Linked DNA regions of Arabidopsis thaliana. The protein of the gene in region 1 interacts with the protein of each later gene in a biochemical or structural test. Each region holds a gene or a part of one and is shown in the gene's direction. Other genes may lie near its edges.

Region 1 (3,757 bases):
ATCTTAATTGTTATCATCACTATTAACTTTCTTAAAAGTAAGAAAAACCATCACACTTCATTATAATAAAAACCATCACCCTTCATTGCATACATATGTGAACATGTATAATTTGGAAGCTGCTTAGCTATAACAGTCATTAATTGTCGACGACACTAATTCAAATAACGATAGATGCGATAGACAAAAGAACAATATGGACCATTTAATGATAATCATAAGATTTGAGAAAGAAATCAAAATTTTAACAAGTTTGGAAAATACAGTTGGGTACTTGTCTTTTCTCTTGCATCTTTTGCTGTCTCTTTACTTCCTTCTTGTTTGTTGGTTTTTGGCTTATTGTTTTCCCTTTTATTTTTCCTCTTTATGGACCATATTCATTTAACTCTCCCCACACATGTTCGTCTCTTATTTTAATTTTATTTTGGTATGACTCTCTTATTTATTTATTAAAACTAAACAAATACTCCATAAGTTATAAACCAAAGAAAGAAGTTATAGATCAAGGGTTGACAAAACGTTGGAGCTTAGTCCAAATGATGAAATGCCTCACACGAAATATGTACATACGTCGAATTCAAAGCGTTAGCAAAACTTTTGGTCTTAAAGTTGAGGTCATTTGTACCACGGTGCGCCTGAGAATGATTTAGACACACTAGTACTGTTTATGCAAATGATTTAGTATGTACATTTCATGTAAATGTGGTAGACCCCAAGAGATATTCGTATTTTTGTGAGAAAGAAACTTTGTTACTTGCTTACCATTAATGTAACTCTTTAAAATGAAAGAATATCTGTTGTCTCTAACTTACAACAAAAGTTACATATTACGAAACATATTACATCAATATATGATTAACATCACCAGTTTTTAAGTGAAATTTACGGTAATTAGAGTACACACTATTCCATAATTAAATACCTGCAGAATAAAACCATGTTGTCGAAATGCTTTCTCTCACTTTACTATGTGTATAGATATGCACATGCATAACCATCTCTCTACATATCTATTGATACATATTTAATCTTTTGATTCTACTATGGCATGTGACTTGAGGTGTGGTGTTATATCTTTATATATAATCTTCTTGACCTAATGATGCTTGACCCATGATCTTAATTTTAGTTTACTTTATCTTTTCCATAATCTTTTTGTTTTGTCCAGTTCCTCCTTTTTAATTTTTCTAATCAGTATTCTAAATTTCCAGTCCAAGAAATTGGATCTAAAACACCTTCATCTTAATTCAATATATGTATGAGCAAGTGTATATATGTATATGGATATTAATTAGTATTAGCATACGTATGATATAAACAGATAATTACAGCGAATGAAATGGACCGACAATGCTAGCAGAGATGAGCATTAGTAAATTTAATTAATCTTTCACATAAATTCCTAGCTTTCATGTGCATTTCACACTCTTCAAGATTCCATGTTTCAACTACTAATTTAATAATTTATATATCAGAAATCCAAAGTAGATATCTCCATCTTTCTTTCAGTTATTTACTAATCTCATTTTTACCACTATATAGCCACTTCAGACTCTCCCAAAGTAAACAAAAAAAAAAACAAATAATCACAATCCAAATTATCTAAATGTTTCTTTCGAAGCATTAGAAAACCCCAATTATGTTATGCGTCGTTTATCAATAATAGGTAGTAGTAGTACTACTAGTAGTAGCATTCAACAAATATCATTATTAGTAACTAGAAGTCTAGAAGTCATTATTGATCTGAGTAAACGTTATCTTCCTTTTGTTTCTTAAAAGATAACAATCCAGAAATAACAAATAATAGGGCCAATTCTAACATGTCATTTTCTGAATTTGATAACCTAATTTTCTTAGATGATTTATGACTATGTAATAGTTAGATCTATAGGAGTTTTTTTTTTTTACCATTTATGAATAATATTATCAGCATGCCTCATCTAGAAGCATTTACCACAGATAAATCCACTTACAAGAAAAGGAATAAATATAATTTACCACTCTTTTCATCTATATTTTTATTTAATTTTCAACTTATATAATTCTGTTTTGTTCACAAACAAATAATGGTGAAAAAATAAAGTGACATTGTTTGGAAAATAATAATAAAGGGAAAAAGGTAGAGGTGCTTTTTGGGATCCAGATCTTCCTTTACTACTTCTTCTTCTCTCTCTCTCCTTTGGTTTGCTCTGTTTTTATATATTTCTATAAAATCAAAGTAAAAACCAAATCCATGGGGTTCTTCGCTTCACAATCCCAACGCACCTCTCTCTCTATCTCTCACTTCTTCTTCTTCCTCTCCCTCTTCACCAATGCCACGTAACCCTAGATTCTGCTTCTTCCTCTTCCTTCTTTTTCACTCCTCTCTTTTCTTCTCCATCCCCTGTTTTTCCATAGACGAACAGGGTCTAGCTCTCCTCTCATGGAAATCTCAGTTGAACATCTCCGGAGACGCTTTATCTTCTTGGAAAGCCTCCGAATCGAATCCTTGTCAATGGGTGGGAATCAAATGCAACGAAAGAGGTCAAGTCTCGGAGATACAACTCCAAGTCATGGATTTTCAAGGTCCGTTACCGGCGACGAATCTCCGACAGATAAAGTCTCTGACTTTGCTCAGCTTAACCTCCGTGAATCTCACTGGTTCAATCCCTAAGGAGCTTGGAGACTTGTCGGAGCTAGAAGTTCTTGATTTAGCTGATAATTCTCTCTCTGGTGAAATCCCTGTGGATATCTTCAAGCTCAAGAAACTAAAGATTCTGTCTCTCAACACAAATAATCTCGAAGGTGTGATTCCATCGGAGTTAGGGAATCTCGTTAACCTCATCGAGCTCACTCTCTTCGACAATAAACTCGCCGGAGAGATTCCTAGAACCATCGGAGAACTCAAGAATCTAGAAATCTTCCGTGCAGGTGGTAACAAGAATCTCAGAGGAGAGCTTCCTTGGGAGATTGGTAACTGCGAGAGTCTTGTGACTTTAGGTCTCGCCGAAACAAGTCTCTCCGGTAGACTTCCGGCGTCGATCGGAAACCTGAAAAAGGTTCAGACAATAGCTCTTTACACGTCACTCTTGTCTGGTCCAATCCCTGATGAGATTGGAAACTGCACAGAGCTTCAAAACCTCTACTTGTACCAAAACTCAATCTCTGGATCGATTCCTGTATCAATGGGACGTCTCAAGAAGCTTCAAAGTCTTCTCTTATGGCAAAACAATCTCGTCGGAAAGATCCCTACCGAGCTAGGCACCTGTCCGGAGCTTTTCCTCGTCGATTTATCGGAAAATCTCCTCACCGGAAACATCCCAAGAAGCTTCGGAAACCTTCCAAATCTCCAAGAGCTTCAGCTAAGTGTTAACCAGCTCTCCGGTACAATCCCTGAAGAACTCGCGAATTGCACGAAGTTGACGCATTTAGAGATCGATAACAACCAAATCTCCGGCGAGATTCCGCCGTTGATCGGGAAATTAACAAGCTTGACGATGTTCTTTGCGTGGCAGAATCAGTTAACCGGAATAATTCCAGAGTCTCTTTCTCAATGTCAAGAGCTTCAAGCGATTGATCTCTCCTACAACAATCTCTCTGGTTCGATACCTAATGGAATCTTTGAGATTCGAAACCTCACGAAGCTTCTTCTTCTCTCTAACTACTTATCTGGATTCATACCACCGGATATTGGAAACTGCACGAATCTTTACCGGTTAAGACTCAACGGTAACAGACTCGCGGGGAATATTCCGGCGGAGATTGGGAATCTGAAAAA
Region 2 (3,757 bases), on another chromosome or scaffold:
TTATATAAAAACAGTCGCAATTATTCAAACAAAATGTATAGGAAAATAAATAAGTGGTGTGAATATGTGATTCAAATGAATCTGTAATATTCTCAAAATTCCTACCTCCGTGAATTCTAGAAAATGTCGTCGATCGGAACAAATTTGAAAATAGAATGATTTGTGTGGATAAACTTTTAAATCATTGTGTGGGAACGCACGGATTCTACAAAATCATGCTGGCCAAGTTAAGCTTCATAGCCTTAATGCATTCACAGCTATGGACAGTCGAGTTGTACGTTAATATGTCTTCTATGGACAGGAGCGGGTAAGATGGCCAATGAGGTCATTATGTTGAGATGTACGTAGACAAATTTCAATGTTGTTCTTTCTGAGTATTAAAAGAGTGTGATCACTGATTTTGAAGTCAGAAAAAACAAAAGAACATGTTTAAAGCGTCAAGTTTATCGCATCGTCTCGGTTCTCAGATTGTGTATTTGGTAGCTGCGGTGGTGGCTAAATTGCGGTCTCTTTTGTTGACATCACTTGTATTTCTTGACTAGTTATTTGTGCTACCTGGTTTTGAATGTGTCTTGCTAGTGCGGTTCTTCATAATTGAAGTTAGTGCTGCAATGAGTTATCACCTCTTGTTGCGTTTGTTTTGTGTTCTAGAAGAGTTAGTAAGATCGATGGTGTTCGATGTGGTTATGAATCGCATAAATCATGCTCTGCTCTATCCGACTTTGGGGAAAGAAATTGGTAGATGGAGCTTGCATCGTTCGCATAATTTGGTTCTTGAGGTTCCATATTATTGGAAAGCTTATGGACTTGAACAACGAGTCACTGTCACATGACGCGAGAGGAGTTTATGCCAGAGAACTTTGAGTTTCTACCGTTGACGGCTCATCCTTAGACCTCCAATTCAAAGTTTTTAATGCAAATAGTTTAGCATTATGCTTTTTTCAAGCAGTAGTTACCCTTCTTCTTAAAAAAACAAAAAACAAAAAACTTAATTATAAGATAAAATTTCAAAATAGTCATATTTTTATCTAACTCGTTCGGCTTCAACGCTTTGGTTGAGTTGATTGACCAAAACTTGTGAATCACGATGTATGCTTCTATGTTTTATTTTTCTTGTTATAGGATCATTTGTATAGGCTTAAAATCTTTTGATTGTAAATTTATATTTTTATCATTTCAATAAAATATTTTTATTTTTATTTAAGAAAAAACAGAAAAAAACAAAAAACAAAAGAACATAATTGTTGCGTACAAAATGAGTGGCTAATGGGTTTGAACTAGACAGAAAAAGTTAGGGACGTTTTATCAAAGACTATTGTAGGCTTATACTTGTTTGTTTTAGGACTTGTCGTTCTATGTCTATTTGTAGTAGTCTCTACTTGTTAGAATAAGATGATTTTTTCAAAACTAATTTTGCACAAGTGATTTGAACTTTAACAAACAGCGACAATTATTAATTTATTATATGGGATTCAGCCATGTGACTAGAATTAAATTGTTCAATCCAAGAGTTCTAGACCCAAAAAAAAAACAGTACTGCCCTTTCAATTTAAAATAATTTGAGAATCAATTAAAGAGCTTAAAGTAGTTGAAAAGTACATAAGTCCAATGTAGAAAAGGTCTTGTCACAACTCTACATATAGACCATAAATCAGAGATTTAAGCACTTCAAACCTTGAGCTCCCTCCTCTCTCTCTCTCTCTCTCTTTGTCTTCAAAATATTCTCAGAAAACAATGGAAGAAACAGCACTGACAAAAGATCAGATCACTGAGTTCAAAGAAGCCTTTTGTCTCTTCGACAAAGACGGCGACGGTTCTCTTCCTTTCTCTAGATGGTCATATATAGAATAAAGATAATAAAGACGACGACTAATATTATGTTGTGTGACATTTATTTATGGTTGTTTGGAATCCTTTAATAGGTTGTATAACGGTGGAAGAACTTGCAACAGTGATCCGTTCGTTGGATCAGAATCCGACAGAACAAGAACTTCATGATATCATCACTGAGATTGATTCTGATAGCAACGGCACCATTGAATTTGCTGAGTTTCTCAACCTCATGGCCAAAAAACTTCAGGTTCCACTCTCTCTTGATCTCTCATGCTTATTTATTTCACAACTAATTACATCAAGTTAACGTAGCCACGTACAAACCAAAAAGTTACATCAAGTGAAATTTTTTTGTCTATATGATTTCTTATATATTATGTTATAGGTCCCTTATTGTAACTCTTTGATATGGGATCCTAACAGGTTCTAGTCAAAATGGAGCTGTCTCATTCATTATGCTTCTAGTTTATTAAAAACTCTTAAGAAATATATTGGAAATATTCAGCTTTTGTATTACAGCAAAATCTGTTTTGCTTTCGGTTTTTCACTACGAATAAATCTGATTTGTGAAGAACTAGACACGTAAATGTGTATAATGTAAACAAAGACTTTTATGACAATAGTTTTTTTGTATGTTAAGTTGTTGTCATGATCATGTGATGGTTTAGGAAAGTGATGCGGAGGAAGAGCTGAAAGAAGCATTCAAAGTCTTTGACAAAGACCAAAATGGATACATCTCTGCCAGTGAGGTCCGTGACTCTTACTCTCTTTTTTTTCTCTCTTTATTACTAATTTGATATATGTGTCAATGTGTATATTTAGTTAGATATATGCTTGACTTATTGAGAACTTAAAAGGGAACTTATGCGGAAAATCCTCTTTAAGAACTTATAAAAACAAATTAGTTCGATGCACTGGATTGCGTTTTGTACAACGTTCTCCAATAATACCATGTACGGTCTAACTGTGTTTTTATTTGGTTATAAATGATTAGAGCTATAATTATTTAGATTTTTGTATCTACTAGAAATCCTTATCTAAATTTTGGTTATTGTCAAATTTAGTTTAGGTACATGAACCAATTTCATAAATGTCTTCTTTGCTTAAGTGGTACATGCTCTATATCTCTAAAGTGTCGTCAAATACAGGCTAAGCACAATAATTATGAGCATAGTATTTTTATGTAACCACTTGGACCAATTAATTCTGCATTAACTAGAAAAAACGAGAAATCCAGCTAAAACACACTTTCACATATGTAGAATCAATGACAAATATCAGACAACAAAGCCAGACGATCTTCCAATTTAAAGAGATCCATAGTTGTCTCATTTATGTTCTAAAACATTTTTTAACAAGACATGGCCATTTATTTATTTGATTTTATATTTTCGAAAGTCTGTTTTCCATCGTGAGGGCTTAGAGCTAGCTGGCATTGTGAATCTTTAGAGAATAACGAAGAGGAACAAAAGAAATTTTAATACAAAGTAGTTAGATAGAGTAAAATGCGTTTGATTTTATTGGTTTATTTGACAGGAGGGCACATGTTTCACCTAGTTTAATTAAATATATATACCTTTCTTTACATCCTCAAAAGTTACATTAATGCAGACACCTTTTTGCATGCAACACAATTCAATTTATTAATTTGGGGTTTTCTATATCGATTGGTCAAAACTTAGGCTAAAACCAGCTGTATTTTGCTTACAACTTAAAAAAAAAAAAACTAAACAATTGTATGAATTTGGTTTATTCATATTTTTCGTACCGAAATTAGAAATTGTTCAAGTTAGGCCGTTTGACCTACTATATTGTATTGCATATTCAAATGGATAATAAACAATTATTATTCTCTGTACAGGGTCAGACCCGTCTGATTAACATGCACAACTTAATTTACAATAATTAGACTAACAATTACGTT
Region 3 (3,757 bases), on another chromosome or scaffold:
GCTACACGATCAAATATGGGCTTGAGTTGGATTTAGTTGTTAATAGTTCGTTGGCTCATATGTATATGAGAAATGGGAAATTGCAAGATGGCGAGATTGTTATAAGATCAATGCCGGTTCGTAATTTGGTTGCATGGAATACACTCATCATGGGGAACGCGCAAAACGGATGTCCTGAAACCGTGCTTTATCTGTATAAGATGATGAAAATCTCAGGTTGTAGGCCGAACAAGATCACATTTGTAACTGTGCTCAGTTCTTGTTCTGACTTAGCGATAAGAGGTCAAGGTCAGCAGATTCATGCGGAAGCTATTAAAATTGGGGCTAGCTCTGTCGTAGCTGTAGTTAGTTCATTGATCAGTATGTATTCAAAATGTGGGTGTCTTGGAGATGCAGCTAAAGCTTTCTCGGAACGTGAAGATGAAGATGAAGTGATGTGGAGCTCAATGATTTCTGCTTATGGGTTTCATGGACAAGGCGATGAGGCAATCGAGCTGTTTAATACTATGGCAGAGCAGACGAACATGGAGATAAACGAGGTCGCGTTTCTGAATTTACTTTATGCGTGTAGTCATTCTGGCTTAAAAGACAAAGGGCTTGAGTTGTTTGACATGATGGTGGAAAAATACGGGTTCAAGCCAGGTTTAAAGCACTACACTTGTGTGGTGGATTTGCTCGGTCGAGCAGGCTGTTTGGATCAAGCCGAGGCAATAATAAGGTCTATGCCAATAAAAACAGACATTGTTATATGGAAAACATTGTTATCTGCGTGTAACATACACAAAAACGCAGAAATGGCACAGAGAGTCTTTAAAGAGATTCTTCAGATTGACCCTAATGACTCTGCTTGTTACGTCCTGCTTGCAAATGTTCACGCCTCAGCTAAGAGATGGCGCGATGTATCAGAGGTGAGAAAATCGATGAGAGATAAGAATGTGAAGAAAGAAGCGGGAATCAGCTGGTTTGAACACAAAGGTGAAGTTCATCAGTTTAAGATGGGAGATCGCTCTCAGTCTAAATCTAAAGAGATCTATTCATACCTGAAAGAACTGACTCTGGAGATGAAGCTGAAGGGATACAAGCCTGATACAGCGTCAGTATTGCATGATATGGATGAGGAGGAGAAAGAATCAGACTTGGTGCAGCACAGCGAGAAACTAGCGGTTGCATTTGCGCTCATGATATTACCTGAAGGTGCACCGATTAGAATAATCAAGAACTTGCGGGTTTGCAGTGATTGCCATGTTGCTTTCAAATATATATCGGTGATCAAGAACCGAGAGATCACGTTAAGAGATGGTAGTAGATTCCATCATTTCATTAACGGAAAGTGTTCTTGCGGCGATTATTGGTAGCTGGGCAGTTAAAGTATGCTATGACTCTCTGCTTCAGAGTCTTTCTGGAGTCTTAAGCACTCAGATTGGATCGGGAAGCCATCTGGGACGAAAGCATTCAGCAGCAAGGGTAAAATTACACTGCGGGTAGTAGCTTTGTAGTCTACCTTGAGATTGCTCCTGCCTGTGTTATTCTTGAGTCAGGAACATGAAGTGGTTTGCTGTCAACTTTACTTACTCAAGCCATCTCCGCAAGGTAGAAACTATGGTTCGCGTTATTTCGTATGTACCATGTTTTTGGTCGTTTGTGTAGTTTCTAACCTTCCACACCCTTGGCTTGCGATTCTTTCCAAAGCAGAGATGTTAGATCAGAGGATGGAGTGGGTTCTCAAGTAGAATGCACTTGCGAATCCCTCAGATCAGATTTTTCATAGGTAAAGTTCGTTAACTTCAACAACACCACTTTAGTAAACATGTGATAATCAATCGTCATAAGCATCTTCGATTCATTTTTATCTTATGCAAGTGTTTGCTTTATTATGATTTGTTAAGTTTTGCATAAATACGGACGTTGAAGCACTTCCCAGAACTCATGAGTGTTTTTATAAACTATTTATTAAAAGTTAGTATAAGAAAACTATAACATAAAAGTAAAATATAATTTAGACAAATGTAGCGATTGGTCCAGTTACTCATCCAAAATTCCAAATGAATCTTCCACCGTTGATAATTCTATTCCATTGTTTTCTTCTGTAGAAGACCATATATTATTAAGTCTCTAGTCCATTGTCAATAAATGGAAATACAAAAAAAAAAAAAAAAAAAAAAAGAAGAAGAAGAAAAAGACAGCATTTAATGAACGAAAATAATATTAATGAATTTGGAAGAAGGAACGAACCAACGAGAAAAATCAACGAAATAATTTAGACAAATGTAGCGATTGGTCCACTACCCATCCAAAAGTCCAAATGAATACTTCACCGTTGATAATTCTATTCAATTGTTTTCTTCTGTAGAAGACCATATATTATTAAGTCTCTAGTCCATTGTAAATAAATGTTTCTTTCAAATAAATGGAAATACAAAAAAGAAAAGAAAAAAAAGACAGCATTTAATGATGATAACGATTTGGAAGAAGGAACCAACCAATTAGAGTAACAAACCAAGGAGGCGACTCACATGAAAGCAAAAGCTGACATGGCAGTGAATTCAGTTTTATAAAAAAGGCTTCAAGGCCGAGAGTTCGTAGTACAAACTCTTCTCTCAGTCATCACAGAAAATAAAAAACAATGGCGAATAAGTTCACTAGACAACAGATTTCAGAGTTTAGGGAACAGTTCAGCGTATACGACAAGAATGGTGATGGTATGGTTCATCGTCTCTATTCCTCTAATCGTACATATTGGATCCTGAATCATCTTCAAAGCACTGAAAATGACTAACACAAGTCCTTGATTACTTCTTGTAGGTCACATTACCACAGAGGAGTTCGGTGCCGTGATGCGTTCCCTCGGTTTAAACCTGACCCAAGCTGAGCTTCAGGAGGAGATCAACGATTCGGATTTAGATGGTGACGGAACCATCAATTTCACTGAGTTCTTGTGCGCAATGGCTAAGGACACTTACTCTGAGAAAGACCTCAAGAAAGATTTCAGACTCTTTGACATAGACAAGAATGGTTTCATCTCAGCTGCTGAAATGAGATATGTGAGGACTATCCTCCGGTGGAAGCAAACTGATGAAGAAATCGATGAGATTATCAAGGCAGCTGATGTTGATGGTGATGGTCAGATCAACTACAGAGAGTTTGCCAGGCTTATGATGGCCAAGTGAGATTTAAACAACTTTTCCGCTTCCCCTTTTTTTACTACCTCTTATCTAATTTCATAAAGAATGTTCCTCTCTTGTTCTTAAATTTCATTCTGAGTTCTTGTGTGTATGGCTAGGAATCAAGGTCATGATACTAAATATGACACAACTGGTGGCACTTTGGAGAGGGACTTGGCGGCCGGGGTTGCCAAAAATATCATCGCAGCGCCAATGACCGACTTCATCAAAAATTTGTTCGAAGCGTTGTTTTCTTGAAATGGTACATCAGTAACTTTATGCCATTAGGGTCTGGCTGGTATGTTAGATCTCTCTAAAAAGGCGTTTGATCTTTGAAAATAATTTCTATGTAATAAATTTATTGTGTTACCATCTTTTCTTGCATGCAATTTATTAAAATGAGTTTGTAATATGGTTTCAGTATCGAATATAATTGGGGTATCAATGTATCTTTTGAGAAAAACATTTAAAACGTAGCAGAACTAATTATTGAAAACTGGTAGCATTACTAAAAATTGATCTAAATCGGTTAATGATTTGGCACATACAGTGATCAAATCAGCTAAGCCTCATATCTCACCGTCCCAGAGTTCTTC

What was found.
Region 2: the proteins of AT5G56040 (region 1) and CAM8 form a complex in vitro, tested with the Arabidopsis thaliana proteins (one large-scale study listed by BioGRID).
Region 3: the proteins of AT5G56040 (region 1) and AT2G41090 form a complex in vitro, tested with the Arabidopsis thaliana proteins (one large-scale study listed by BioGRID).

Annotation. Positions count from the first base shown.
Region 1 is NC_003076.8:22,692,738-22,696,494, forward strand, and holds the start of AT5G56040 (Leucine-rich receptor-like protein kinase family protein), read left to right. Parts: upstream 1-2,085; 5' UTR 2,086-2,312; coding exon 2,313-3,757. UniProt on the Arabidopsis thaliana protein: Receptor with a serine/threonine-protein kinase activity.
Region 2 is NC_003075.7:8,396,066-8,399,822, forward strand, and holds the start of CAM8 (calmodulin 8), read left to right. Parts: upstream 1-1,646; 5' UTR 1,647-1,734; coding exon 1,735-1,813; exon of another isoform or gene 1,814-1,897; coding exon of another isoform or gene 1,898-1,922; coding exon 1,923-2,080; intron 2,081-2,501; coding exon 2,502-2,582; coding exon of another isoform or gene 2,583-2,630; exon of another isoform or gene 2,631-2,640; intron 2,641-3,757.
Region 3 is NC_003071.7:17,133,200-17,136,956, forward strand, and holds the start of AT2G41090 (Calcium-binding EF-hand family protein), read left to right. Parts: upstream 1-2,147; 5' UTR 2,148-2,623; coding exon 2,624-2,699; intron 2,700-2,802; coding exon 2,803-3,163; intron 3,164-3,280; coding exon 3,281-3,419; 3' UTR 3,420-3,757. Other genes in the region: AT2G41080 (pentatricopeptide (PPR) repeat protein), read left to right, coding at 1-1,355; AT2G41082 (uncharacterized protein), read left to right, coding at 1,626-1,730.